Notamacropus eugenii: one gene and its partners. The protein of the gene in region 2 purifies or fractionates together with the protein of the main gene of each other region. This does not show direct contact. Links are inferred from orthologs where the notes say so. Each region holds a gene or a part of one and is shown on either strand. Other genes may lie near its edges.

Region 1 (7,464 bases), on a different chromosome or scaffold from region 2:
TATTCATGGTAATAAGGATTAATGCTAAAAATTTTTAAATTTTGTTTTGTATTTTCCCACTTCAGCAAAATGACTCCATTATATTCTGCTTTGGCTAACATTAAAGTCTGTCTAACCACACACTGACAGAGGCGGTATAGCAATCAATCTCTAATTAAAAACCTGCTGCAGTGTATCCAAATATTGTTAATCAAAATTTATAACACGCAGAAGTGGAAATAATCTAAGTCATTTGATCCAAGCCTGTTATCTTACATGAGGAAACTAAGGCCCAGAAAACTTAAGTGACTCACTAGAGGTAAGACATCCAAGTCTTTCCATTACACTATGATATCTCTTTCTATACTTCAGTTTGTGTTGCTTTTCATTTTAGGAACTGTCTTTCCCTATCCACTGAATTACTTAAGGAAAACTTCATAATTCCTTTCCTTCAGTAATCACCTTCACCACAACTCAGACCTAATAGGTCCCTTTACTTGCAATTCTTATGTATTTATGCATTATTTTATATTTGCTATTATTCTGCATCTCCCCAAATAGACTGTAAATGCCCTTAATGACAGGGACATTTACTTTATGATGACGATGAAGGGAAACCCCATGAGTCATTTATGTACACAGTAGCCTACAAACAGATTTAGAGTCTAAAGAAATAGAAGCTGCAGTTTTTCAGATTAATTATTTCTAGTCTTATCTCCTTCAGCTCTTTTAAAAATGTTTTTACTATACAACTTACATTATTCTTTAAGCCAACGAGACCTGACTTTGTTAAAATAAGAAAATATTTATTTTCAAAAGGAATACAACTATCTAAGTTTGAAAGCTAAACACAAAATCTCAAATATCTAAAACTTACTTTGTCCCCTGCATTTGGATTCTTATCAGGATGGTATTCCTTGGCCAACTTTCTATAAGCCTTAGAGAAAGGATAACAAAAAAATTACTCACAAAAACAGTTAAAACTATTTTAACTTGCACTTTTTTTGAGGAAGAATTTTAAGTAAAAAAATTCACTAAGCTTATATCCTAAATACGTACCTTTTTTCCGCCAGGATACTTATTTAAATTAACTCCAGTTTTAATATCATTTGTTTATGTAACCATAACATTCCCCAGTTACAATCACGGTTGAAGAGTTTTTAAAAATTGAGATACAAATAGAGAGAAGAAAATATAATGGAACATTGTTTCAGTCTCTCACTTACTCCTGGGTGCTTTATTGAAAAGAAACAAGAGGAAAAAGTTTCTAGTAATCTACATAAGTACTAATAGTTAATGAATATTCAGAACAGATCGTAAATAAGCTCTAGTAGATGCCCCTCCGCATCCCCCATACCAGGAACAGGGCAAAATGAAACTACTATAGGCTTACAACTCATTTTCATACAGGAATGCTCTGGGTAATTAAATCATGTCGTGATCTTTGGCTTGGTAGATTTGGAAATACATGTTAAACTATATGGTTAATGACTAAAGCCTTCACGCAGAGAAATGAATTATATAATAGTAAATCACTTCCGGTAAGGTGACAGGAAGCCCATTTTCAGAGATTTTACTCCCAGCAGTCCCTCAGCCTCATCGCCTAGGGCAATTCCATTTCAGCCAGCCCACAAATTTTGATGCAACATCTGAAGGATGCGGTGAGGATTAATTAAATATCTAAAGTGCTCTGAAATTCTCAGATGATAGACTGCACTACTACAAGTAACGAGGTCTTCCATTTTTTTTTTTTTTTTTTGGCGAGGGCTTCAAGTGTTTACTTCAGACGAAGTGCCAGTTTCATCCCAGCAGAACCGACAATTGGAATGACCAGGCTTCACAACAATGCACCCCAACGTGCCCATGTGCTACACCCCAGTTTAATCACCCATGCCGATGAGGCACTGCATGTTACGGAGCAGCAACATCGCCCACGGAAGCAGTTCTCGCCTCATTCCCAGCTGCTCCAATGTCAGCAGGAGCCCGGGGGCCAGGTGATGCCAGCAGCCTTTCCCCCTTAGTCCGCAGCCCTTGGGACCACGAGCAGAGAGGGCCCGGCGGAGGAGAAGCTTTTAGCTGATGACACAGGGGAAACATCCTTTCCCAACCAGCGTCCTCCCTCGTCCCAGGCACACACCCCTTTTATCGGTGGCTGCTTTAGTAAGGAGGGGGTAAAGGCCGGGCCGAGGATGCACCCAGGTGCGTGGGTTCAACCTGTTCTTCCAGGGGTGGTGACCTCGGCACCGGGATGCGAGGGAGGTGGGGCGGCTCTCGGGGCGGCCACAGGGCGGAGGTTTCAGTGCCCGGGCCTCGGGGGTGTTGCTCGTTTAGGGGAAGGTACTGCCTGAAAAACCGAGCGGGAGGCCCCAGGACAGCTCCCCGGGGAGCCCCGGCCTCCATTTCCGCCCGGCATCGCTGCTCCCAAGGTCAGTGGGATGAGCAGGATCCGGGGGGGCGGGGGTGGGGGGAGGCACCGGTGCGGCGGCGGCGGCAGGAAGCCGGAGGAGGAAGGGAGCCGCCTGGAGGCCGAAGCCGGGGCGCCGCATGTGGGCCCCAGCCAGGCCAGCTCCGCTTTCCCCGGCAGGCCCCGGCGCGGTCTCAAGCTCCGGACGCCGTACAGCCCCTCGAGCCGCCGGGCCGCTCTCCCCGCCAGGGCTGCCCAGCCCTAAACCTGCCCCGCGCCTGGGCCCGAGCCCAGGTCCTGGCCCCGCGCCGCCCCGCTCGCCCGCCGGCCGGCCGGCCCGCGCCGCACCGCCCGCGCATGCCGCTACCTTCTTCAGCTCGTTCTCGCTGGCGCCTGGAGGGACCCCGAGGATGTCGTAGAGCTTCGTATCAGCCACGTTCGCCATCGCAGGGCAGAGGGCGGGAGACGGCAGAAAGCGGCGGCGAACCCGGGCCCTGGAGAGGCGGCAGCGGCGACGGCTGAGGAGAAGGAGAAGCGAGAGGAGGTAGAGGAGGGAAGAGGAGGAGCTGAACTCCGACCTCACGTATAACGTCGGGAGCCAGCCCCGCCCCCTCGGTGCCGGACGCGGCGGCGCAGTCGAGCCCCTCCCCTCCAGGAGGTGGTTGGGACCGGCGGTTGGAGGGGGCAGCTGCGGGGGGCGGGGAGGGGACACCGGCTCGTGTTGGGGCGCTGGCTCCTCTGGACTAGAAGTCAAAAGTATCCGGCAGGTTTCTGGGTTTTGTTTGTTTCTTGGTGGTGCGAGGAAAATACTGGGAAAAACTTGAGAATGATTTTAGAGCTCCCCTCAAACTTGGTTATCCTCTCGGTCACGCGTCCTGGCCTGATCTCTCGACTTACAGATAGGGAAACTGAGGCTCAGAGAAGGGCAAGGTTTGACCCCCAACAGAATCCTTCCGTGTTTTTTAACGGCTGAAAGGTGTCTTAGGGATGCCCCTCAGCTTCACCGTCTTTCAGACCTGTGATTTATGCGTGGCAGCTCTCCCACTACTCGTGGTCCCAGAGAGTTCGTTGCCATGGTCCCACAGTTTGTGTGAAAGGCGGGACTTGAACCTCGGACTTCCGGATTGCCCCAGTCCATGCCCCCCTTGTGCTGCCCGACCTCCTGCTGTCATGGACTGCTTCTGTTTATTCGCTGCCCCGTCTCCACCCTGATGACTGTTGGGCCCACCTCCTGCCTTACGGGAAGCCCCTGTTTCATTATCTAGTTGGGGTTACCCTAGTCCTTTGTCACCCCGAACCCTTTGTTTCCCCCTCCCCCCCTTAAGCTTTACCTACCGCCTCCCGTTCTTCTGCCCTCCTTCATCTCCCTCTGCCTCTGGATGGCTTGTTCCCAGGACCTTCGGGCAAAACGAGCTTCCGTCTCTTTCTCGCTACCTTTCAGATTGGGTTTTTTTTCCTATTGGACTTAGTTTTATTCAGTTTTTGAAAGACACCCCCGCTCCCCCCATGGTGACCCCGTTTTACTTGCATTAAGAAAGAGGATGAGGAAATTGACTTTCTCAACTCTTCAAGTGTTGGTTTCCTGACTCTGAAACATGTTCCTAACTTTAGGGTGGTTAGAGGAATGTAGCTTTTCCCTTTGTTTTCGTTGTAAGCTGCTTGGTTATTTGTGAATAACATGCCAATAATCTTTGTTTTAGGAAATTGAAGCCAGCTTTGTCTCCCTTGGAATTACAAGACACTCATTCCACTTCAGTTAGATCCATGCTGCCTGTTTTCTACCACGTAGGAAAGTCAGAGCCCTTGGTGCTGTAACCACTCAACCTTTTCCACTCTCTACCTTTTGTCTTGAGGTGCCGCAAGCTCTGAAGCTCCAGATTTAGCCGGTGCCATTAAAAAGAAAGCCCTTTATCTCACTTCGCTTCTGGCATTGTAAAACGCTGAGTCACAGTGCAGCTGAGGACTGCAAGTGATTGAAAGTTCAAGTTCAGAGTCATTTCAAATTTCTGCCAGGTTTATTTTGTTGCTTCATTTCTTTATGTATTTATTTAGGGGATGGGAATGGGAAGGAAAAGGAAGGATACTGCAGCATTTGCAAAATGTTTGCTTATATAAGTTTAGTCCTGAAGCATTTGGTGTTGAAATATTTAGTTGCTTAAAGGAATTCTATATACCTGCTCCCAATTAGTCCTGAACTGGAAATAATGCTTTTTTCATTTCAGCAACAATTCTGAGATAAGGACAAGGAAACGGAGGCGTTTATCTAGTATCACACAGCTAATCTCTGGAGCTAGATTTGAACTCAGGTTCTCCTGACTAGGTCCAGGGGTTTTATCCACTGTGATGCCTAGCTGTGTGTGTTCTCTCTTCTCTTTTTTTTCCCTTTGCCTGCCTACCTACCTACCTATCTAATCCTATGATAAAGCCACTTATTTACGCAAGAGCTAGTTAATTAGCTAATATTTTTTAAGTACTATGCTAATATCTAGCTGTTAATGTTTATCTTCTAAGTCTGTATTTATCTTAACCCTGCTTGCCTCAGTTACTTATCTGTAAAATGAGGAGAAGGAAATGGCACACCATTCCAGCATCTGCCAAGAAAACCCCAAGCTAGTATTTTTTAAATACTATGCTAGTATGTAGCTATTTACATTTATCAAATGAAATAATTTATGTGTAGAGCTTTGCAAATCTTAAAGCAATATATAGTTATTTATATAACTTTTATATTTTTATATATTCATAAATTTGTATATGTATTTATATATTTATATATATATAAGTTGTTTCAATTAGGATTTTTAAAATGCAGTATAGAAGAGGTCCTAATTTTGTCTGCTGTATGGCAACACTATTGATCCAAGGCTGTGTTTTCTACCCTGAATGGGAAAGACAGAAGAATATACTTCTTTTCTCTCTTGGCCACACTGAACTGGCATTGCAGCAGAAGTTACTTTTGTCAATGCCAATTCAGAGAAAGAATGTGAAAATAGTAGGTAATGATAATGATTGAGTTTCTTTATGTTGCAGTTGCTAAATTTGACCAAAGATTAAACTGTAAACTAACTTCTTATAGTCATTAAGTTCTAAAAAACTCTTTTATTTCTAATAGAAGATGTCATATCTGTTTCCCTTTTCAGGGCAATGAATAGTGCATGCTTCATCAACTCTTATTAAAGTGTTAGATTTATGATCCTAACCAATTTTCTAAATACAAATGAAGAAGCTTTTTTGTTGTACCAATACTCAACTTGAAGAGTATGTTAGGTAGCTGTTTGAGAATGAATTTTTTTCCTGTAAAATATTATTAATCTTAATAAAACCTGTCTGAAAGTGCTGGCCACAGAAACTAAGACACTAAAGTGTGAAGGGTTGTAATATATTGGTTCTGATTCACTCATTGAAAGAATACCCATAAAATCATAGATTCTTAGAATCTTGAAGTAAGAAGGAAAATATCAGTCTGTAAATTTAAGATCAAGTCTATGAAAAATTTATGTCAGCCTTCTTGTTTGCAAAGGTGATATGACAAAGTTGAAAATGCCTTAGGAAGAGTTAATTGATCTTTCAACTTTTAAGAGATCACATTGTTTTTCCCTATATCATTCTCCAAGTCTGAATGTTGTTTATCTTTAGTAGTTTGATTTTAAAATAACTTGATTCATTCTAAAGAAAAGTTCACATTTCCTTTCAAGGAGTCCGTCACTGAGCCTGTTATGTGCCAGGAGGGCACCTACGTGGCACAGTGGATAGAAGACACGTTTCTGAGTTCAAATCTGACCTCAGGCACCTACTAGGTGTTTGACCCTGGGCAGGTCACTTAACCCTGTTTGGAGAAGGAAATGGCAAACCATTCCAGTGTCTTTGCCAAGAAAACCCCAAATGGGGTCACAAAGAGTTGAATGCAACTGAAAACGACTGAACAACAATATGTACTGTGGGTATACAAAGAGTCAAAAGAGAGTCCCTGTCCTCAAGCTTATAGTCTAAATAGGGAATCAACATGCAAACAAATATAAAGCAAGCTATAGAGAAGACTAATAGGAAATAATTAAGAGAGAGGGAAGGCACTTGAATTAAGAAAGGTTGGGAAAGGCTTCTTATTATAAGAAGACGGAGAGGTTAGTTGTCAGAGTGGAGGAGGGAGAGCATTTCAGGCATGGGGAACAGTCAGAGAATATGCCTGGTGCTGAGAGATGGAGTGTCCAGTTTGTGGAACAGCCAGGAAGTCAAAGTATATACCTGGGGCAGGCATGGGTCAGGGAGTAAGGTATTAGAAGATAATAAAGATAGGAGGGGTCCGATAGGAAGGTCTTTGAATACCAAACAGCCTTTCCAACTAGAAGGAGTTAACTTTGAAGAATCCTGATGGTAGAATTATTTATAATCAACCATTAACACCCAATATGTACTAGGCACTGTGCTGGGCTCTGAGGATTTGTTTCTTCAGTTATTTCAGTCATGTTCCACTCTGCATGATTCTGTTGGGGGTTTTTTCAGCAAAGATACTGGAGTGGCTTGTCATTTCCTTTTTCAGTTCGTTTTACAGTTGAGGAAATGGAGGAAAACAGGGTCAAGCAACTTGACCAGGGTCACACAGCTAGTAAATGTCTAAGGTAAGATTTGAACTCAGTTTTCCTGACTGTAAGCTCAGCACTCTACCTGTTCTCCCAATTAGCTGCCCTTAGGCTCTGAGGATAGATACAAAGACCAAAATGGACAGACCCTATTTTCAAGGCACTGATAGCCTATCAGGAGAGACATGCACTTAAGGTAGCATACACAAAATACATATAAAGTAAGTTTTTTAGGAGAGGGCACTTGACATGGTGATGGAAGGGCGAAGGGAGTGGGGAAGAAGGGGATCAAAAAAAGTTTCATATAGGTATTGCTTGAACCGAGTCTTTAAGGAGGTAAAGGTGAGGAGGGACTGCATTCCAGGTGTGGGGGCTATGCAGCACAAACACAGACACTAGAAATAGAATATTATGGGAGGAACATCAAGAAGGCCAGTTTGACTGGATTGTAAAGTGGGAAAGTGGAAGTCATAGAGTTGGAAACGTATATTGGGGCCAGGTTGT
Region 2 (7,123 bases):
AGACCTGGTGCCCGGCAGTGGACACCTCGAGTCTATTTTGTTATTTTTCTTTTTGCTAAGACCACTCTAAGGAGCCTGGCATTTTAGTACCCCCAAGTACTTCCAAGCAACGCCATTGTCTTCTCCAAAGAAATCCAAGACGCAAATGGAATTTCAGTGTCCATATTTCAAAAATTTATTATCTCAAACTGTGCATAATGGAATAAAAACTTAAGTTGAAAATGTACCTGTTATAAGGACGGGATTAGTTCAAATATATGTACATGGACTCTCGGCAGACTGGTTTAAAGAAACACAGAGTCAGCCGAGTTTTTAAAATACAACTACCAAAAATGAGGGAGGAAAAAAAAACCGTAAATATCACAATAAATTTACAGAAATATTACAAACCATAAGAAAATATTTCAAACACAGTAATTTCAGGTCGCTCTTGCTGGGTTTTTTGTTTTTGTTTTTTTTTTAATTTGTGTTCAAATTGAAACAGAATGAAAAGTTTGGAAATAAATGCTATTATAAATTATCAGCCATGGCAGCCTGTGTGGAGGGGCCAGCTTTTGCTTTTTTTTCCTTCTTAACAATAAGTAAAAAAAATGAGTACAACCTAAACGTTTGCCCTTTTATAGAAAAGCACGGAAATGGTTTTTTGCAAGTATCCTAAATTTTTTCTCCTTTTGTACAATTTCTAAACAATTAAAATGTCCAAATTGAAATTAATTCCCTCCTCTCTTGTTTGCAACTGCCCCAAATCCCAGTTGCAGTGATCGGAAATTCTGCAAGAAGACTCTTGAAAAATATTGGCAAATTTTCAGATTAGAAACAATGGACATTTTGATTGCCATGTTTATATCGATAAATACTGTACAAAAGTTGCTTGCAAATATTAAAACATTTTTTTCGTCGTCACCTGGAGACTAGCTCTAAATATTATGGGTAAAGACTTTTGCAAACTTTCTGCAAAGCTCCTACCGTCCACGCTAGAACTTTTTAAAAAGTTTTGTGTAGTTTTCTTCCCTTCAGAGATCTATACAAGGCCCCCCTTGTCTCCCCCTCCCCCAAGTTCTCTGTACAAAAATAGTCCCCCCCAAAAAGAAGTCCGGAATCTCTCAATAAAAGTTTTCTTCTTGGTGTTGCCGTGGCTGTTGGGTTTTTGTTTTGTTGTGTTGTGTGTGTGTGTGTGTGTGTGTGTGTGTGTGTGTGTGTGCGTGTGTGTATCTAAGTTCCTCTTCGCAGTTGTCATTGCTGTAGATGGTGGGGAATTTCCCCCCCCTCCCATCCCGTGGTGCGGTGGGCCCCCTTCTCTATGCCATACAGTCTCTTTGTGTCTTTTTTTTCCTTTTCCTTAAAAAAAATGTTCCTGCCCTGCCGGGCTCCGGGGCTTACATGTGCGACAGGGGCAGCGTACCGTTGATGGCCGTGCCCGGCACCGGCGCGCCCTGGTAGTGCTGGGACATGTGAAGTCTGCTGGGCGCCGAGGGCTCGGGCACCTCGGCGCCGGGCAGGTACATGCTGATCATGTCCCGCAGGTCCCCGGCCTGGCAGGGCGCCCTGGAGTGCGACGACGAGGTGACCACGGGGGGGCTGGAGCTGGCCTCTGACTTGACCACGGAGCCCATGGAGCCCAGGGCCATGGCGCCGCCACCGCCTCCGCCAGCGCCGCCGCCGGGGGCGGCCTGCTGCGAGTACGCCATGCTGCTGTAGGTGGGCGAGCCGTTCATGTAAGTCTGCGAGCTCGTCATGGAGTTGTACTGCAAGGCGCTCACGTCGTAGCGGTGCATGGGTTGCATCTGGGCGGCCGCGGCCGCTGCAGCTGCTGCGGCCGCCGCGTTGTGCGCGTTGAGCCCCGGGTGCTGAGGGTAGCCCAGCTGCTCCTGCATCATGCCGTAGCCGCCGTTGCTCCAGCCGTTCATGTGCGCGTAGCTGTCCATGCGCTGGTTGACGCCGCCACCCAGGCCGCCGGCCCCGACGCCGACGCCGCCGCCCATGCTGTTGCCGCCGGGAGCCAGCAGGCCGCCGGGCAGCGTGTATTTGTCCTTCTTGAGCAGCGTCTTGGTTTTCCGGCGCGGCCGGTACTTGTAGTCCGGGTGCTCCTTCATGTGCAAGGCGCGCAGCCGCTTGGCCTCGTCGATGAAGGGCCGCTTCTCGGCCTCGGACAGCAGCTTCCACTCGGCGCCCAGCCGCTTGCTGATCTCCGAGTTGTGCATCTTGGGGTTCTCCTGGGCCATCTTGCGCCGCTGCCCGCGGGACCACACCATGAAGGCGTTCATGGGCCGCTTTACGCGATCCGGGCTGTTCTTCTGGTTCGTGCCGCCCGCCGACGTGGAGTTAGGGCCGCCGCCGCCGCCACCGCCGCCGCCACCGCCACCGCCGCCCCCCGAAGTTTGCTGCGGGCCGGGAGGCTTGAGGTCGGTCTCCAGCATGTTGTACATCGCGCTGCTTCCTGGATCGCGCGCTCCGCGGGCCCCCGACCTCCCCGGGCCGGCCTCGGGCGTCCCGGACTGGCCGGCGAGACTTTTCGGGGGGCCCGAGGGCGGGGGGAGGGGAGGAGGGGAGGAGAAGGGTGGGGGGGTCGGGAGCGCGCGTCTCCAGAAAAATAAGATGAGGAGCGATTAAAAACGCAGAGCAAGAAGACGAACTGGAAGCAAGATCAGGAAGAAAAACTCCTCCACTGGCTTCGATTTCTGCTGCCGCCGCCGCCGCTATTATTGTTATTATTATTTGGGTGAAACGCTCCTTTGAGCCCGGGGCTCAAAACTTCTTTCTCTCTCCCCCTCTCTCTCTTCCTCTCTTTCTTTCTCGCTCTCCTTCTCTTCTCGCTTGTTCTCTCTCCTCCGAGTCTTAAAGAGGCAGCAAACTACTTTCCCCCCTTTTGCAAACACTCTCCTCTCCGCCTTGACAACTCCTGAGACTTTTTTGAACAAGTTAATAGACAACCATCCATGTGATGGGGGCTGTCAGGGAATAAATGGGTTTTCCCGGACCAATCAGCGCGCTCGGGCTCCTCCACACAGGACAAGCCTCTCCGGCTGGTTTTGCATGAAAGGGGGCGGGGCTTTCCGCGCCGCGGAGCCTTCGGCGGCCCTGGGGGAGGGGGAGGCGGGTCCCACCGCCAGCCAGCCAGCCACTAAGAAACCTTTGTATCCCTCTCGCTGCAACAGGTCACACCACACGCCTTTTCGGAGGAAGAGGGTGAACAGCACTGTGGCCGCCTTGGGCTTTTCCCCCCTCAAACTTGGTATTGATTTTGGGGAGTTGAGGGTTGGACGAAGGAGGAGATTGAGTAGTGATGGGGTGCAGGGGCCTCTTAATCTAAGTCTCCCATTAGTATTTCCAAAAAGGGTCATAGAGATTTGGTGTGCCCACCCTTGTTCTTTCCCCTCCCCTAGGCACTTTACCTAGAACTACGGAATTAGCTGCCAGGCCCACCGGGCTACAGGTTCTCCTCCTCCATCATCCCCACCCCCACACGAAGGTCCAATTTGTCCCTTTAGCTTGCTTTCCTCTCTGGTATTTTTCATCTCACTGTGGTTTCTGCAAAGAAGTTGGAAAAGTAGTAGTCCCGAGACCATCTTCGCTCTCACTTTCCTTCCATGTTTAGAAAATATTTGTAAGCTCATTCCTGTCAAGTTTCAGGCCAATGCATCCATCCCTCGTTGCCGGGACACCACTTTTCTTCCTATATAGGCTTTGTTATCAAGAAATTGTAGGTATCTCATATCTAATTCATTCTCCTCCTGCTCCTACTTCGCCCTAACCCCCCTTCCCCTGGCTATGGCCCCGCCCCACCCCCACCCTCCCAATCCTTAATCCATTCAAACCGTGAGGAAAAGCAAAAAAAAAAAAAGCCACAAACCCTAGCCCTATATTCCTCATTCTCCTCCTCTTCCCTCCTTTCTCTTAAGCCTATCAGAAGAATTTCAGTGTCCCTTTCAAATAAGGAATGAGAGAAGCATAACTCTAATAAACGAAGGAGGAGGGAAAGAAGAGGGAGACAGAAAGAAGGAAACAAGAAGAGGAAGAAAGGAGCTGGATGAACGTGCCGTCAGTTCAGACTCGGACCTGAGATCAGACAGAACACAACTCCCAAGTTCTAACGTGCTATGGTTTTTAAGCGCCTCCAACACAGTTCCCACAAGCCAAACTTTATCACCCTTTCCTTTTGTCCCCGTCGCTCACTCCCCCCAAAGTCTGCACTACACTCCCCACCTTCTTTTGGCTCAGCAGTGCGCTTGGGACTGGGCTCCCCGGGGCCGAGAGGTCAGGGTGGGGTGAGGTCTGCCAGACCCATTCAGGGTCAGGAGAGGGGAGGGAGCAGGCTCTGGACAAAAAACCTGGAAGGGGGGAAGGGAGGAAGGAGTGGAGAAGAGACAGGACGAGAAGGGAGGGGGTAGGTGGGAGGGGGACTGGACTGGAGGGTCTCGGGAATCTTGCTCGCCGCGGACCCAGGAGGGTAATTTTAGCCGCTCTCCCATTGTCCCGATGTAAAGATTTCAATAGGTAGGAGCTCAATGCGTAGAGAAATGGGAGCACGTCCGTTACAAATAGGTAGTTTTGTTTCTGTTGTTGTCACTACACGCAGGCAAACAAAGCCCGGTCTAAGTTTCCTTCCACTCTCTTGTTGCGATCTTTGTGGCTAAAATGCACTTGACTACAAAAGAAAAAAAGAAGCAGCAACCTCATGCTATTTGTGGCTTATAAAGGACTTAAACCATCAGGGTTATTTATTTTTTTCTCCTTTAACACCCTACCCTACTCCCCTCGGTCCTCCGCCCTTCACTGGTAGGCAAATGTACCGATCGCTAGCTCCCCGGCCACGTTCCCTTTATTGCATTAATTCACTCAGCATAAGTCCGAATTACTGTGGAGGAAGAGAAGTCGCGGCTCCCCTTCCATCATTACACCCCCCCACCCCCTCCCGCCCCGCTCTGTACTCTTCTCTCGTAAACTAACTTGGAAAATTGTGGGGAGGGGGGGGAGGCGTAAGTCATGAAATCGATGTGTGTGGGGGGCACTTTCAGAATTCCTCTAAATTTAGCCCCCCTATCTCTTCAAAGAAAGTGGGTGGGGGCAATACTTCCAACTTATTTTCTAAAGTTTGGGTCTTAGTTATAAAGCCTGGGCTCCTTTGAAAGGGGGAGGGGGATGTGGGACCCCCGGGACTGTCTGCTTTACAATGGAATGAGAGGTGCCCCAACGCGCCCAGAGACCAGGCCAAGGAGGATGGGAAGAATGATTAGGGAGGTTGGAGGCGGAGGTGGGGGTGAGGTGGGGGGGGGGGCGGTCGGGGCCGCAGGGAGGGGCTGCAGGAGCCAGGAGCTGGAGCTGGAGCCCTGCCCGAGGTGGCTGCCACAGGCTTTTCTGCGCCACGGGTTTCAGGGACGGGATTGGTGCGCCCCCTACTGGCGCGAGTTTTCCCCAAGAATCGCGCTTTTCATTTTAAAAAGAAAAAAACGTTAGGCAATCTTCATCTTCTCCCTAAAGAAGGAGGGATGGGTGGGGTGGTGAGAAGCAAAATTAATTACAAGTAATTTTTATCAACAGATTGGTGTGTGTCCCTCAGAGGCGTGTAAGAGTCTGATTCAATTTACTCAACTACTTAACGCCTGTCTAATCCTTGGGCTAAAATTAGGGAGGGTGAAAATTAGGGGCGCCTCTTCTTCTGGGTGTGTGCGCTTGATCACATCATTCCCCCACCCCCGGGTCCTTTCTTCCCCTCCCTCCTCTAATCTCGCAGCTTAATTAAGTTTGGGCCGGAGGTAGGTTGCCGTGGGGGTAGCCATGGGTGGGGGTTGGTTTATTGCTAGAAATTGATAACTGGTGCCCGTGGAGACCCGAGTGCATTTGTCCGGTCTTCTCGGGATGGGCAATAGGGAGTTGGGGCTCGCTCAACTGAGACAGCCGGAAGATTCCTTCCCACCCCCACCTCTGATAACCAGATTGCATGCATTTATGCCTGAACTCTATAATAATGCATTTAAGAGGTGAAAGGGGCTGGCTTCGGCCTCAGCTAATTGCGTTGATCACATAAATGAGCGGGGGAGAAAATGCGTCACAATTGGGTCCTCATTGGCTGCATTTATTTTCAGCTTTGTTTTAATTAAGCGCGTTTGACTTATCCGCGCAGTACAACTAACTGTCGCTGGCATTCAGGCGTGAGAATAATGTGCTCAGGAAAATCAGGAGCCACTGAGGGCGCGGAAACCCCTTTTCCCAGTAGATTTCTGACGACATGTATATTTACGAAATCGAATCCCTGGCCACACCATTGAAACTCACGGCCATCACTCAGCCCTAAATACTCCTAACCTCCAACCCCACACGCTGGAGCAAGCGCCCCAGTCCCACAGTCCTTCCTGTTAGCCTGCTGCATCGCTAATAACCACCCTCCACGCACTCCTCAGGAAGAGAATGAGACTTAAGACAGGGCTCTTCGTTCAGGACTCTTTTTCATGTTGTCTTTGGTATAATTTATGGAAACGGAAAAATGCGTGTAGGAAACAGGATAGAAATATTCCTTCTTTCCTTCCCTTCCCCCTCCCCCTCTTCCTCCCAAAGGACGGGAAATAACTCTTCCATACTTTTATTGATAGATTAGTTTAAAAGGTTGGGGTGTAGGAGAGGGCGGGGAAGAAGCTCCTGGAATATTTTGTCTTCCTTCAGTTCTGGGATCGGCCCTAGGTAAAAGCCCTTTAGAATCCCCCAAAGAAACAACTTCCTGTGGTAAGTGGAAATCTAACTTTTTAATTTAAGTTTATTTATTTCTGCGTGTCCACTCCCTTCTCCTGCACCCTCCCCCCCCCCCCCCCCCCCCATCCCAGCAGTAACACATCTAAAGCTATCAAACAATTTTGTTCGTCGAAAGAACCGCAGACCTATTTTTTTCTCCCTAGCGGCAAATAGAGGTTTAACTTGCGGTAATTAGGTGAGAACTAGCCTAGCATCTTACTATTACGATGCTCGTTAAGAGACGCTTCGTTTCTGCATCTGCATCTGAGAGCGCTCCCCTCCACTCTTAATCTTCTTATGGAAATGAAGGCGAGCGGCAGGGAACCCGCAGTCTAGGAGAATGTCCTTGTTAACTGGAATTTCTCAGCATTGCTAATTAGCAGAGTTTGACGACCACCAG
Region 3 (6,897 bases), on a different chromosome or scaffold from region 2:
TTCCCCTAGAGAGTCCTAGATGTTCCCTTGGGACGCCCCAAGATGGCACCTCGAGATAGTCTCAAAACCTAAGAAGCTCCAAGTGATAACTATTTCTATTTGTCCCTACAGATAACTCATAAAGTTCCCCCGGACTATACAAATACCTTTGTGTCCCCTATAAACAACCAAAAGCCCCCTCCCAATTAACAGATGTCTGCACTAAGCAGCCCTGACAGATGTCCCTAGATGTATCCTGGTCAGAGTCTCAGGGGTCCCTAGAGCCAGCTCAGAAATCCTCCAGGAACAATCTTGGACCCCACCCTCCCAGAGAGTTTCAGCATTCTCCCTCAGATATCTCCTAATGGAATCCTATGATGGCTCTTACAGATAACCTCAGCTCGCCCTCCAAGGTATCCCTTACAGATACCTCCAGAGCCACCCTCTGCTCCCCTATCCCCAAACATCCAGACCCCATGAAACACTCACGGCAGGGCCCCTCAGTGTCAGACACATCACCAAGATATTCCACGACTCCCCTGCTCCCTCTGATAATCCCCAAGAGATGCCACTGCCCCAGCCCACCATCATAGAATCCCCAAGTTCTGAAGGGGTAGCAGGAGCTGCCTGAGCAGGAATGTCCTGGCCTCATGGGGCCAACAAGTAGCTGTGGTCATCCATCCAGCTTCCCTTCAGAAGCTCCCCACCCTCTGGGTCAGCCGGTCCTCTTACTACCTTCAGCGGTCAGGAAGTGGAAATGCCCATCCTGGCAACTCCTATTCTGCCCCAGGGGTTAAACGGGTCTAGAGATAGCTTTCAAAGACCCCTGGACAGGTCATCTCTCCTCCAATTCAGCCTCCTGGCTGCCTCCTAGTAGACACTCATCTATGTCCTTCCTTGGCTGGGGTGCCAAGAACTAACCACCATCCTGAAGACAATGATATCAGGCCAGAGGGCAGCAGGACCCCCTACACTGCCCCCCACCCCCACCCCTAGCCCTGCCCAGTCCTCCTGTGCACTGGGCCAAGATCATCACATTTGCTTTCTTGGCTTCCAAGGATGCTAGGAACTTTTCTATCAGAGTGTTCAGAAAAGCTGCCGCCCAGCTTAGGTCCTCTGGGACCCACACATGGCTTCAAGTGTCTCCCTATTTATATTTATTCTGTAAAGACAAACTACATGTCCACTACAGCATAAGCTGCTCAAGAGGAGGGATGGATCATTCTTTGCATTTGCATCCCTGCCTGGCATGGAAGAAATGGGCAGGACCTGACAGACCCCTGGACAATGTCACCCTTAGATTCAGCCCACAGTCTTGCCCCCAGGAACTCTCTGAGTCCCTCCTGATGGCTGTTGTTAACCGTCTCTCCTAGCCCTGCATCATCTGCCCTGACAATCAACAATGCCAGCCAATTCTTGACCAAAGTCATTAATGCAATATTGAAAGAGTACCTATTCTGGGGCTCCCCCAGGGTGCCACAGTGCCTTCAAGACCACCCACTGGGGGTGACCACTCAGCCCCTTCTGAAGCTGCTCCAGGTGAGTGAGGACACTACTCTCCACCTTGTCCACAACATGGCAAAGACAGTGGAGGCTTCACCCAAATCTAGGTAGACTCTGGTTTGCACCTAGCAAACCTCTGGTCTGTCCTGGAAAGCTGGCTCTTTGTGATCATCACCTTCTAGAGGGGAGAGGGTGCCCACAGACACCGGCAGAGGCCCCCAGGCCTCCTTGAACCTCCCATGGATATTCAGAGATGTCTGCTACTAACCCCTTTGGTGAGACATTCCTGACGTCCTCAGTATCCCCTATGGACACCCCTAGAGCCTCCCGTAATAAAGTCATTCCTGAAGATTCTATTGATGTACCATATCCTCTGTCCATAGCAAGGACTTAAGTGCCCCATTAGACCCTCAAAGTCCCCTACAGACATTCCTGGAACCCTCACAGACATGATAAATGTCATGTATACACCCCCAGGTAGACCCCAAAGCCATCCCATAGAAAGCCTAGGGGCTTCCCACTGACATTCCCAGGCTGACCCCATAGACATCTGAGGTGCCCCCCATAAACACCCCCAGGGGCTCCTACAGACACCCTCATAAATGCCTCCAGGGGCTTCCTCTAGACATCCCCATAGATATCTGAGGTGCTTCTTCTAGACACCTCCAGGTGCCTCCTATAGATATCCCCACAGACATTCCCAAGTGCCTCCCATGGATACTCCTCTAGACACCCCCAGGGGCTCCTCTAGACACCCCCAGGTGCCTCCTATGGATACTCCTCTAGACACCCCCAGGGACTCCTCTAGACACCTCCAGGTGCCTCCTATGGATACTCCTCTAGACACCTCCAGGTGCCTCCTAGAGATACCCCCACAGACATTCCCAAGTGCCTCCTATGGATACTCCTCTAGACACCCCCAGGTGCCTCCTAGAGATACCCCCCCAGACATTCCCAAGTGCCTCCTATGGATACGACCCTAGACACCCCCAGGGGCTCCTCTGGACACCCCCACAGACACCCCCAGGTGCCTCCTATAGACACCCCCACAGACACCCCCAGGTGCCTCCTATGGACACCCTCATAGACGCCTTCAGGTATTTCCTCTAGACGCCCCTCCCCCCCACAAACACCCAAGGCGCTTCCTCCAGACACCTCCAACTGCCTTCGCTAGACAATCCCAGGTGGCCCCTACAGACACTCCTGGAGTCCCCTAGATAACCGGAAGTCCCTCCCGCCGGGCCTCCGTAACCGGAAGTCCGCAGAGACCTATGCCTCCTCCCCCTCCTCCGATTCTCTCACCGGATCCTGGCTGCTGCACGACACAACGTGGCGGAGGCGGATCTCGGGCATGGTGGGTCTGGGGGCCAGGAACGATGAGACTTCAGAATCCAAGGCTTCTGGACCAGGCCGCAGCCTGGGAAGGAAGAGGCCGCTCTTTCAGGGCAGCACTAGTGCGCAGGCGCGCGGACTCCCGGGCCTGTTCAAAGTCGGGAGCGCGCTCCCCGCAGCCGCGCAGGCGCACTGGCCCTGCTCCACTGTTTCCCCGGCCGGTTCCGTCCCCCCTCCACCTCCCCCCGCCCGTGGCCACTCTAGGCTTCGCTCTCTATGACCCGTCCTTGCTCTAAGCCCGCCCCATGACCGGACTGACGCCCCAATTCCACCTTTCCTTGGGCTGTCCCTCCAATAGCCAGCCTTTGTTCCTGGCCTCTCTATCCGCTCCTCTTGCCTCTCCTCTCCCCGGCCCCGCCCCCTCCGACACCCCGCTCTAGCCCAGTCTCTCTATGGCCGCCTTCCCCTGGCTCCACCCCTTTTGTATGACCTAATTAGCCCTTCCTCTCGCCGACCCGCCCCCAGGAGCTTACCGCCCATCTCCCTCATTTCCCGCCTCCTGGGCTTGGAGCCCATTCTTATTGGTCACTGCATCCCTGTTCTCTTTTCCCATTGGGTGGCGTGGTCCGAGGGCGCCTCCTCCTCGCTGCCCAAGTCGAAGGATCCCAGTGCTTTGCTGCACCCCAGCTCAGCCCAGTTTAGTTTTGGAGGAGCCCTTGCAGGTGTGGAGTGGGCGGGGCCATGCAGACCCGTTCCGAGCCCCATTAAACCCAGGCAGCCTCAGATCCAGCCCAGGCATCTGAAGCTGAGCCTACGTCATCGGATTCGAGCCCAGAGAGGGGCAGCGACTTACCTGAGGTCACACAGCAAAGGGCATAACTAGAACCCAGTACCTCCCCACCCAGAGCTAGACCTGGTTTTGTGAAGGGTGCCCTCTGACGACAGACTATTTACAGGCCCAGCTATTAATTTACCATTCACCGCCCCCTGAACTCTACCCTTGGGGAGGTTTTGTGGATGGGGGTGCAGCTTGTACATAGATCAATACATACAAAGTAATTCTGGGGGGCAGATCAGGAGGAGCTTCCTGGAGGAGGGGGCGCGCAATGACCCCCTCTGGGGCCAACTGTTCACCCTGGAAATGGACCAAGGCTGCACGTCGCGGCTTGAGCCCTTAAATGAGGGAGCAGATGTCAATAACGCGGATCGAACTCGCCCCTCGGGTGCAAACCCCTCCCCCACCTCCTGCGGGCACCCCAGACCCCACCGAGCGCTTCCTTTAACTGTTTTGAATCTTTGCTATTTGCTTTTTTTTTTTTAAGCTAAAAAAAAGTCTTTCTCGGAGATTCTTTTTACACCCGACCTCAACCATAACTAGGACGGGGGCTGATTCCAGAATCCAGCCTGAAAGCTACCATCGGGGTGGAGGTGGTCCTGGGGAACACCGGTCTTGGGAGCTGCCTTGTGTGAGCTCAAGTTTGGGAAGATGAGGGGGTCCTTGGGTGTCTGAGCCGTCAAAAGACGAGGAATAAGCTGTAGAGAAAAGAAGGGCACCATGGACAGGGCTCGCGGGAGTCCGGGGAACAGCCACAGGTGACCCAGCTATCAGGGTAGCGTGGGTTAAGTAGGTGGGGCTGGGGGCGGGGCTCGCCTCAGGTGTGTTTTCCTCTTGCGCGAGGCCTAGGTATCTCTGCCGAGGAAAACAGTCATCAGAATTTCCGGGCATTGCCCCGACTCCCCTGCCTGGAAATGGTTCCCGTTCTGGAGACGACTCAGACCTTAGAATAAAGAGACTCCACGGTGCTTAGAGCGCTGAGTCTGGAAGACCTAAGTTCAAATCCAACCTCAGACCCTGGGCAAATCACTTCAGCTCTGACTGCCTCAGTTTTCACATGTGTGAAATGGAGCTAATAATAGCACTTGCCCCCCAGGGTTGTTGTGAGGATCAAATGAGATAATATTGGTAAAGTGCCTGGCACTATATTTATGTTGGCTATTAATTTTTGAATTCTGCATTATCTGTGGGGGTGAAATATACCTCCTTTCATCTTACGCTGTCACAGCGGTGTAGACCTTCATTACCTCACTTTTGGACTATTACTGCTGGGGTGGAAGGTGGTCTGCTTAGAATCTCTCCCTGCTCTAGCCTGTCCTCCCTTCAGCCACTAACATGATTTTCTTAAATCACAGATTCAGTAATGTCCCTCCCCTGCTCAAGTGGTTCCCTATTACCTCTAGGATAAGATACAAAATGCATTGTTTGCGGTTGAAAGCCCTTCATAACCTGGCCCTTCCTACCTTTCCAGTCCTCTTACATCTTACCCCTCCACGTGTACCCTTCAATCCACTGATACTGAGCCCCTTTCCACTCCAACTGACCTCTCAGGCTTGAAGTCCCAACCAAAATCCCACCTTCTATAGAACCCCTCTTACTCCCAGTGCCTTCTCTCTGTTGATTCTTTACTATTTATCTGTATATCATTTGCTCTGTATGTTCCTTTTTAGGTTGACCCCCCCCCAATTAGACTGTATGTCTCCTGCCCTCCTTGAGGGTAGGGACTGTCTTTTCCCTCTTTTTGTATCCTCAGTACTTAGTTTGATGCCTGGCATATAGTTGGTTGTTTGACAGACTGAATGAAATGAAGGCTGTCTTGCATCTCCTGTAAATGTATTGCTACCTTGAGTGCTTGTAAAGGATTTGAGAGACCCTTTTATACACATCTGTGGAACCCTAGCCAGGAAGTATATTCTGAGATTTCCCAGAATGAACCTGGAGGGAGTAGAGGTGGACAGCATGAACCAACTCCCCACCCCCACCCCCAAGCTCAAACCCAGGCTGTGTAAATCCAGAGTTTTGGTCCAAGGTTTACAGTGACCTAACATCCAACTTCTGCCACTTTTTCAAGAGCAAGATGCCCTCTGTGGAACAAAACTTGAGTCATGCCCCTGTTCCTTGGCCTGATGAATCACTTGAAAATCTGCTGCTGCTCTTGGCTCTGGCCATATGATGAAAACTGAGGCAGGGCACAAAATTCCCATCCATTGATGGCAAATTCTCTGGTTTTCACCAGCCTTTCAGCTCTCAGGTGTTCCTCCATGTGTGAGTGGCCCCTTTCCCCAGCATGTTACAACCTCCCTTTCCCCACCTGTTTTCAGACACCTGGGGGAGGGGGTGTGTGCTATGGGAGACAAAGAACTCCCAGTCACTTCAGTCTCTCCAAGCTTACAAGCTCTTTTGAAACAGCTCCATGAGGTAAGCATCAATGATCCCATTTTACAGGTACAGAGGAAGGAGAGAATGTGATTTGCTCAGGGCAATGGCAGTATGTGAATGGGAAATCATCAGAACATAGGATTCCCCAGTTTGGGTTGCCATCTTAATTATGAGATTGTAGATTTTGAGCTGGTAGGGATTTTAGACTCCATCTCTCCAACAAATGGAAAAACTGAGGCCTTGAGACAGGAAGGAATCTACTGAGATTAATCTCAGTTTCTCCATCTAGAGCATGAGGAGGTTATACCTTTAAGGGTCCTCCCAGCTCTGACATTCCAGGTTCTAAGGTTCTCTGCCATTCCATCTTACAAGGTCCCTTCCAGCTCTGACAATGGAGGATTCTATGAAGTGACTAGGGGCTCCCCCTGTCCCCACCCTCCCCCAGGGACTTGTACCCTGCCCCATCACGGGGAGGGGTCAAGTCTGGGGGCAGCAGGTAAAGAACTCTGCACATAAAGACAGGAGTGTGAGCAGGTCTTGGGGGTGGAAGGACCCAGACATCCTGGCCCCCACATCAACGTGTAGGGACAAGCTGGGCAAGGGAAAGCTGGTTGGAGAAGCTGGGCAGGGTAGGGTGTGAGTCATTAAGAAAACTGGGCAAAAGAGAAGGAGGGACCCTGGGACTTTGACTCCTCCCAACACTAGCCTCTTCCCCCCAAGCTTTGCCATCCTGTATGGTAGAAGATGGACCAAGGACAGGGAGGAGGGAAGGAGTATGGGTCCCAGGATCCTCTAAGGTTATCTTGGTAACTGGGACCAGACTGGGGGGAGGGGCAGGGATTGGGCTGGCCCTTCCCCCTGCCACTGCC
Region 4 (7,637 bases), on a different chromosome or scaffold from region 2:
TTGTAGAACCTCCAGTAGAAAGCTGTTAACTAAGCCTATATTTATTGTGTTCATTCTCATGAATTTTCAATTCCTCCTGGGTTTTATCCTGAGCAAAGATGGAAGAAAGGTAAAGACCTAGAAATAGTAGTTTCTGCCATTGCCATTAAAATTGAGAATAGAAAATCGGTTCCTCTCCCTTTCTGGCTCATTGGTACTTAGGTTAACAATGCCACAAGCCTCAGTTTCTAGGAGAACATATTCATTAATCCTATACATCTTTTTATAAATGAAGGATTTATCCCTTGCTACATAGTAGGCAGCTCAATGGCACAACGGATGGTGTTGGACTTTGGAGTCAGGAAGGGGATAAACATTTATGTAGCACCTACTGCATGTCAGGCACAGTGCTAAGTACCCCAGCAAGGTAAGCGCTATTAATATTTTCATTTTACAGCATAAAACTGAAGCCACTATAGAGATTTGCCCAGGGCTACAAAAGTGGATAGTGTCAGCACAAATTTGAAGTCAGGTCTTCCTGATTCCAGGCCCAGCATTTCTATCTGCTGTGCGGCTCAGCTGCAAGAAGGAAGACCTAGTTTCAAATCCTGCCTCAGATATTAGTTATATGACCCTGGCCAAGTCAGCCTCACTCTGCCTCAGTTTCCACATCTGTAAAGGGAATAATAATAGCACCTACTTTACAGGATAATTGTGAGAATCAAATAACATAATGTATGCAAAGTGTTTTGCAAACCTTGCACACTGCTATGCAAATGTTACTGTTGCTTTAAAAATAGCTTACATTTTTAGTACTTTAAGATCTGCACAGCATTTTATGTATACTTTATCTTGTTTTATAAATAAAAAGTAAATATATATTAAAGGAATTTTAGTTTAGCTATAACTGCTTATGATTAAAGTTTATGCCATAAAAGCTTAAAAAAAATCACCAAGGACATTATGATAAATATACATTATTTTCTTATAGAAAACACTGTTACTAGCTAACAGTTTAAAATTTTTGTACAAATCTATTCCTAAGTGTTAGAGAAGGCTACAGTCACTAGAAAAGTAAACAGACACACAAACATCAAACCCTTGTGAATAACTCTACAACAGCAGGCCAGAATGGCAGATTATGAATAAAAGGCCCAAATAGTACAAAGTGGTGCTACGCTAGCATGAGAAAAGTAGCATTAATCAGTTTATTCTCTCCACACATTGTTAACTAGTCCCAGTGGAAGCTACTCAACATGCTTTTTTGGATAACCTTCTCTTTGGAGTGAATAAACCTTTAGTGACCAATCTACAGGGTGTTACAAAAATTTAGAGCAGTGCTAAGCTCTTAAAAAGATTACAACTGCCCTAAAACTTTTGGGACACCCTGTATCAGTGACTATGTATAAACTCCACTAAAGAAGAAAGAGCAGCAACCAAGTGAATATAAAAGACATTAAAAGAGCACTTCAAAATCAGATGTTGAAACCTATAATCAGTCAGATGATGTCACAGTAGATTTTGCCATCTGTTTTTTTTTCTAAATACCACATTCAGATGTCCAAAAGGATCATGGGAATGGGACTGTAAAAGTGGCCAAACCACCCTAAAGAATGCTCAAACAATGAAGTTACCCAGATTTTATCTGGCATAAGCATTTCACCAAGACAGTAGCATACAAGATACAGGGTTGGCCTTGGAGCCCGGAAAATCTGGGTTTAAATCCACAGACAAAAACCATTTTATCTCTCAGTGCCCCTCTTGAGTACCTGAGTTGTATGTCTTCATGAGGGAATGGGGCAGCAGGGGTAACATTTCCACACCAAGAGATCCCACTGTTGCAAACCTCAGTTTCGGTTCCTGACCAATCTGATTTCACGAATGTGGCGAAATAGTCTTAGTGAGCTGCATAAAGCAATGAGGCTGGGGGATTTCTGGGAGTCGGTCAGCAAGCTTGGACTTATCAGGCGCTTATTTCGTGCCAGGCACTGTGCTAAGCGCCGAGGATACACAGAATGGCAAAAAGACAAAAATCTACATGGTTCCTGCCCTAAAGGAACACACGTTCTAACGGCGGGGGCAACACGCACCAAGACTGTACGGGTCGCAAGTGCTTCAGGGGCAGGACTCGAACCCAAGTCTTGCTGCCCTGGAAGTCGGCTCTCTATTCACTACGCCACACCGCCCCATTATGGAGATGGACCCCCAAAGGGCAAAACAGTGCCAGAGATGCTCCACTTGGTTCTCCTCCGGCCCCCACCCCGTCTCTCTCTCCTTCCCCAAAGTGTGCCCTCTCTCTAAAGGTGCCAGCGTCCCCCAAACCGCCCCCTGCCACGGGGGCAGGCTGGCTCCAGCTCCGGCCCGGGGGGCTCCGGGGCGGCCAGCGGGCAGCGCGGGCACGGGACGGGAGCCGTGGGCACGCGGGCCCCCCCGGCCGGCTCACCTGAGCTCCAGCTGGTCCAGGCTCTCGAGCAGGCGGCTGGAGCGGTCGGCCATGGAGGAGGAGCGGCAGAACCTGCCCTCGTTGGCTTTCGCGTTGATCTTCGCCTGAGCCATGGGGCAGCTCGGCAGCGGTGGCTGCAGGAAGGAGGAGGAAGGGATTACGCGACTGCGGTGGTGCCACCTCCCTGCTGTCCTCCTCCCTCCCTCCTGCCCCCCCGGGCAGCCGCGCGCTAGTGGCAGCTCCGGACACCTCCTCCCTCTGACGCCTACAATGAGAGGCCGCGGGCAACATGGCCAAAGAAGGACACGGAGCCCGGCCGGCCGGTGCCCCCCGCCCCCTCCGCCACTCACCTCCATACCCCAGCCGGCCCCGCGGGGTTCTGCGTGGGGGAGGAGGCAGCGTGCCTGCCCCTGGGAAGGGCACGGGTGGGAGGCCCAGGGGCCAGCCAAGGAGGTGGGAGGACGTGACAGCTGCCAAGCTGGGATGGTCTCCTTCCAGTGGGCATGGCAGTGGGCTGAATTCAGGGGGCTGTTCTCCTCGCGTGAAAACTCCATGGAAATCACCTTCGGGGCTGTCTGGGGTTCAAGGGGAAATGTAACAGGGCTGTTGGAAAGACCAAAGATTTAAATAAGCCACTCAGAGCTGTGGCATGAACTTAAGCACCTCGGACAGTCAGTTCCCCATGCTTCCAGAGTCTTCACGAAACTAACTCCCCAAAGGGAGGAGATCTGAGACCCATCGGAAGTTTAAAGAGTTAAATAATCGTATAGGACCCTTAAGTGCTCCTAAATCAATAACAAGGAAAAGATAATTTCATCTTATATTATCTGACTTAAGGCTGGGAAAAAGGCGTGAAGCGATGGCAGTAAAAGGCTAGAAATATTTCCAAAACAATACTGTATTGTCTATTTTCGTTAGCTGCCCCATCCCCTTCTCTCCACTCCCCTCTCCCCAATACTCGGAACCTCCACTTCTCACCTGTGCTTCCCGGCTTCCTTTAGAACTCAGCTCCCATCCCGCCTACCCCAGAAGGCCTTTCTCAGGCTCCACTGTCCATCTGGAATGAAAAAAGTTGTATGTGGTCACCCCGGCTAGAATGTGAGCTCCTTGCTAGCAGAGGGCGTGTTGGTGGTTTTCTTTGCATCCCCAACGTTTAGCACAGTGACCAGAACAAGTTGTTCAGTCATGTCTGACTCTTTGTGAACCCATTTGGGGTTTTCTAGCAAAGATACTTGAGTGGTTTGCCATGTCCTTCTCCAGTTCATTTTATTTTATTTTTTTATTAATTAATTTGTTCTCAGTTTTCTACAATCCCTTCCATATATATCTTAGCTTTTTCCCCCTCCCTTTTCCACCTTCCCCCTCCTTTCTCTCTCCAGGAGACAATCTTATATAGGTTCTACACATACATTCTTATTAAATACATTTTCACCTTAGTCATGTTGCATGGAAGAATTAAAATGAATTCTTCAGCTCATTTTAAAGATAAGAAACCGAGGCAAAAAGGATCAAGTGACTTACGTAGGGTCATGCAACTAGTTAGTGTCGGAGGCCTTATTGGAACTCAGAAACGGGAGTCTACCTGACTCCTCTATGTCACAAACTCTCTCCGATGAGCCACCTAACTGCCCTGACTAGAATGGTGTAAAGCCCTTAATAAAGGCTACTGACTTGATTACAACTTACCTGCCACTGGAATTTTTCTGTTCTCTAATTCCCAGAGGTGAACACTGGTGCCAGAATATCAGGCCTGGGGCCCTGAGAAGGGTGGGAGTGAAAAGAGGGGGGAAATATGAAAAACTCTCTAAGGTTCCCTTAATCCACTGGTTTTGTAAACTTCAGTATTGAGGATCTGCTTCAGTTCCATTCATTCTCACTGAAGTAATTTTAATTACTAATTCTTCCTAATAAGAAAAATAATACAAATAAGTGTTGTAGCTAACATAGTTTAATGGAGATGCCTTAGGACTTGTCTCGAATATCCAACAATGTGTCATGTTATCTCAACAAAATTCAGATAGCCTATGGACTAGCCATAGAAGTTTCTCTGCTTAATGAAACAAAAGCTTCGCATATTGGCCCTTTCCTTTTTTTCATTATTTATTATGAACTTAACCTCAAATATCAACAGAATCAATTAAAACGTAGTTTTATGACCATTAATGCCAAAAAAAAAAAAATACCGTTCAACAAACAAAATGTCCACACCAGTTTCTCCCTGTGGCCCACCTGGTTTTGTTAAGAATACATGTATGCCCTTTGGAGGCAGTTTGGTGATACAGTGGATAGAGCTCTGGCCTGGAGTCAGAACAGATCTGAATGGAAATCCAACTTCAGATAATTACTAACTATATGACCTTGAGCAAGTCACTTAATCACTGTTTGCCTCAGTTTTCTCTACTGTAAAATGGGGATAATAATAGTACCTGCTTTGAAGGATTGTTGTGAAGATCAAATGAGATATTTGTTAAAGTACTTAGCACGATACTTGAGACACTATAGGCACCATGTAAATGCCAATTCCTTTTCCTTCTTATTGTCCCTTTTATCTATTCTTTATTATTTCTCTTTATACATTTTTTGGTTATATATAATCTAAGTATATACTGTTCTTAACTTACACATTATTTCATCTTTCTATATTTGTATTCTTCAGACTTACTCATTTTAATTGCATGATGCATTATATTACATTGACATAGCAATCTATTAAATCATTTCCCCTTTGACATTTAGATTTTTGTCAATTTTCACAATTATAAATAATGCTGCAATAGATGTATTTGAACTAACAGCTCACTTTTCTTTTTGATAATATTCTGTTTTCCCAATAAAGAGAATATTAAATCAGAATGTGATTTTTTTAATAACTCCCATGGCATAATGCTGGATTACTTCTCAAGAGGCTGAAGTATCAACATTTGAAATTCCATCAGTAACGTATGAATATACTTCTCTACACAGTTGAACCAGTCTTGTATTGTTACTTTGTCAGTTTGAGATTGGGATGGTACCTCAAAATTGTTGGAGTGTATTTTTTTATTAGTGAGATTAAACATTAAGTGATTACTTACCATTTGTATTTCCTCTTAAAAATCATCTTATTCCCATTGATTATTCACTAGATATTGAATTTTAACAGTTTTATAAATTTATAAAATTTAGGTATTGTTTTTAATCTGTTATGTTGACCATGATCCTTTTCCTCAATCTATTATTTTTTTATTCTTATATTTTAATATACATTTTACTTATGCCTTTTGTCATTACATTAGCCATTTCTCATACTCCTTCTATATTGAACCTTCCCTTGTACAAAAGAAAAATAATCAAAAACCTCTTGTAGAGACCTCTTTCTGGCATCGCATATCCTATTCTTTCCTAGTGGTCCCCTATTTCTCTACAGTGAGGACGTATAATTCATTATATCTTCTCTGGTACCTTCAGTGGCTTTTCTCTTGCTCAAAGTTCAGCTTCTTTTTAATTATTGGTTGATTTGCATTTTTGTAGGTTCTGCATATTTTGTTCTGTTTCAGTTCTTACAAGTTTTCCCATTTTTCTCTGAATTCTTCAGTCATCATTTCTTACTGTACAATAATTTTCCATTGTACTCATATGACTTAGAATTGTTGTTATCTTAGCTACTTAACAGTCTAAGAAGACCCATTTTGTTTCTAGTTCTTGGCTACCAAAGAATTTTGCTATGAATATTTTGTTACATATTGAAATTTCATTTCTGCCTTTCGATTCTGTGAGAGTATATTCCCAAAAGTGTGATTGTTGGGCCAAAGAGTGTGAAAGGTTTAGTTGTTTTGCTGTAAAAAAAAAAAACTTTATTGATAACTTTTCTTTTTGTATCACCTTCATCTCCTAATATCCCTCCCTTTTTTTCACCCAGAGAACCATTCTTTTTAACAAAGAATAAAAAAAAGTTCAACATAATTAACCAATAGATCACTTTAGTCCAACTGTATGTGATACTCCATAACCTTAACCTTCAATTTTTGTAAAGAAGGGTGTGTGTACGTGTGTGTGCATTTTCATATCTCTTCTTTTGTACCATTTGATCATTATAATCACATAACATTCAGTTTTAATTTTTTCTTGTTGTGTTCTGTTTACTTTGTTGTAGTCATATGTAGTTAGCAGCTATCTATTCCAGTCCAACTAGGAATGCCCTGGTAAATATTTAACAACTGGCTACCGGAAGAAAAAATATATGGAGATCACATTTTAAAGTTTAATCTGCATTATTAACAATTTCTCCATCACTTTCATAAATCTTGACAATCAACAAAATAATAAATCAAGCTCTGATTTGAAGAATTTGCAGATTTCTGAGGTGAAAACGCTCCCACTAAAAATTTAACAATTGGCTTTGAAGAGCCAACTGGATCCAGCACATGCTTGAATCCAACTCATATTCAAAAGGAATCTCCACTAAAATATACCTGACAAGTGATCATCCACCCTCTAATTGAAGACCTCCAAGGAGGGGGAACTGTCCACCTCTTGAGGCAGAGCAGATAAGCTCTGCTGTTAGGAACTTTTTTTTTTTTTGACATCAAGGAAAAATTTGTCTCTGAAATTTCCTGCCTATTGCTCCCGTTTTGGCTACCAGGGGCTAAAGAGAACCAATCCAATCCCTCTCCCACATGACAGCTCTTCAAATATTTGAAAAAAATCTCCCCCAATCCTCATATCTTTGATTCTTTACCACACTGGTGCCTCCTTCTAGATACTCTTTAGCTTAAAACAGTCCTTCTTAAATGGTGGTGCAGAACTAAACTCAATACTCCAGGTGATGGAGGGCATGTATATGTGTATATGTAGATATACTATTGAGTTTTTTAAAATATTTATAACTTTTTTTCAGTTTTACAGAAACTTAGCAAATACTAAACTCATGTATATACTTGGTTTTATTTTTGGAATCTCTATTTTGTTTTGTTGATTTTCCAAAAGCAAAGAAGAGTTATGTTCTAGATCAATGCAAGGAGTATTACACCAATAAAATCATGGACTTTAGGAAATACTGGAGAAAACACACACACAACGTATATATGTGTGTATGTATACACACACACACATATCTTCATCCTTTAGGTTATAAGCTCATCGATGGCAGGGATTGTCTTTTTATTGTGTCCCCAACACATCACAATATCTGGTACATCATGGGTACTTAGTAAATGCTTACTGGATTGGATATATG

Evidence for each region.
Region 1: the proteins of SOX2 (region 2) and DNAJA2 purify together in Homo sapiens (affinity purification with mass spectrometry; 3 studies listed by BioGRID and IntAct, with this or other methods). This does not show direct contact. The link is inferred for Notamacropus eugenii from reciprocal best matches to the Homo sapiens genes SOX2 and DNAJA2.
Region 3: the proteins of SOX2 (region 2) and XRCC1 purify together in Homo sapiens (affinity purification with mass spectrometry; 3 studies listed by BioGRID and IntAct, with this or other methods). This does not show direct contact. The link is inferred for Notamacropus eugenii from reciprocal best matches to the Homo sapiens genes SOX2 and XRCC1.
Region 4: the proteins of SOX2 (region 2) and BAG2 purify together in Homo sapiens (affinity purification with mass spectrometry; 3 studies listed by BioGRID and IntAct, with this or other methods). This does not show direct contact. The link is inferred for Notamacropus eugenii from reciprocal best matches to the Homo sapiens genes SOX2 and BAG2.

The regions. Positions count from the first base shown.
Region 1 is NC_092872.1:461,624,295-461,631,758, forward strand, and holds the start of DNAJA2 (dnaJ homolog subfamily A member 2), read right to left. Parts: upstream 3,017-7,464; 5' UTR 2,829-3,016; coding exon 2,751-2,828; intron 917-2,750; coding exon 857-916; intron 1-856. UniProt on the Homo sapiens protein: Co-chaperone of Hsc70. Stimulates ATP hydrolysis and the folding of unfolded proteins mediated by HSPA1A/B (in vitro).
Region 2 is NC_092877.1:342,641,520-342,648,642, forward strand, and holds SOX2 (transcription factor SOX-2), read right to left. Parts: upstream 3,004-7,123; 5' UTR 2,427-3,003; coding exon 1,377-2,426; 3' UTR 152-1,376; downstream 1-151. UniProt on the Homo sapiens protein: Transcription factor that forms a trimeric complex with OCT4 on DNA and controls the expression of a number of genes involved in embryonic development such as YES1, FGF4, UTF1 and ZFP206. Binds to the proximal enhancer region of NANOG.
Region 3 is NC_092876.1:25,377,872-25,384,768, reverse strand, and holds the start of XRCC1 (DNA repair protein XRCC1), read right to left. Parts: upstream 3,015-6,897; 5' UTR 2,836-3,014; coding exon 2,785-2,835; intron 2,728-2,784; exon of another isoform or gene 2,638-2,727; intron 1-2,637. UniProt on the Homo sapiens protein: Scaffold protein involved in DNA single-strand break repair by mediating the assembly of DNA break repair protein complexes. Negatively regulates ADP-ribosyltransferase activity of PARP1 during base-excision repair in order to prevent excessive PARP1 activity.
Region 4 is NC_092873.1:125,380,278-125,387,914, reverse strand, and holds the start of BAG2 (BAG family molecular chaperone regulator 2), read right to left. Parts: upstream 3,021-7,637; 5' UTR 2,977-3,020; coding exon 2,773-2,976; intron 2,557-2,772; coding exon 2,423-2,556; intron 1-2,422. UniProt on the Homo sapiens protein: Co-chaperone for HSP70 and HSC70 chaperone proteins. Acts as a nucleotide-exchange factor (NEF) promoting the release of ADP from the HSP70 and HSC70 proteins thereby triggering client/substrate protein release.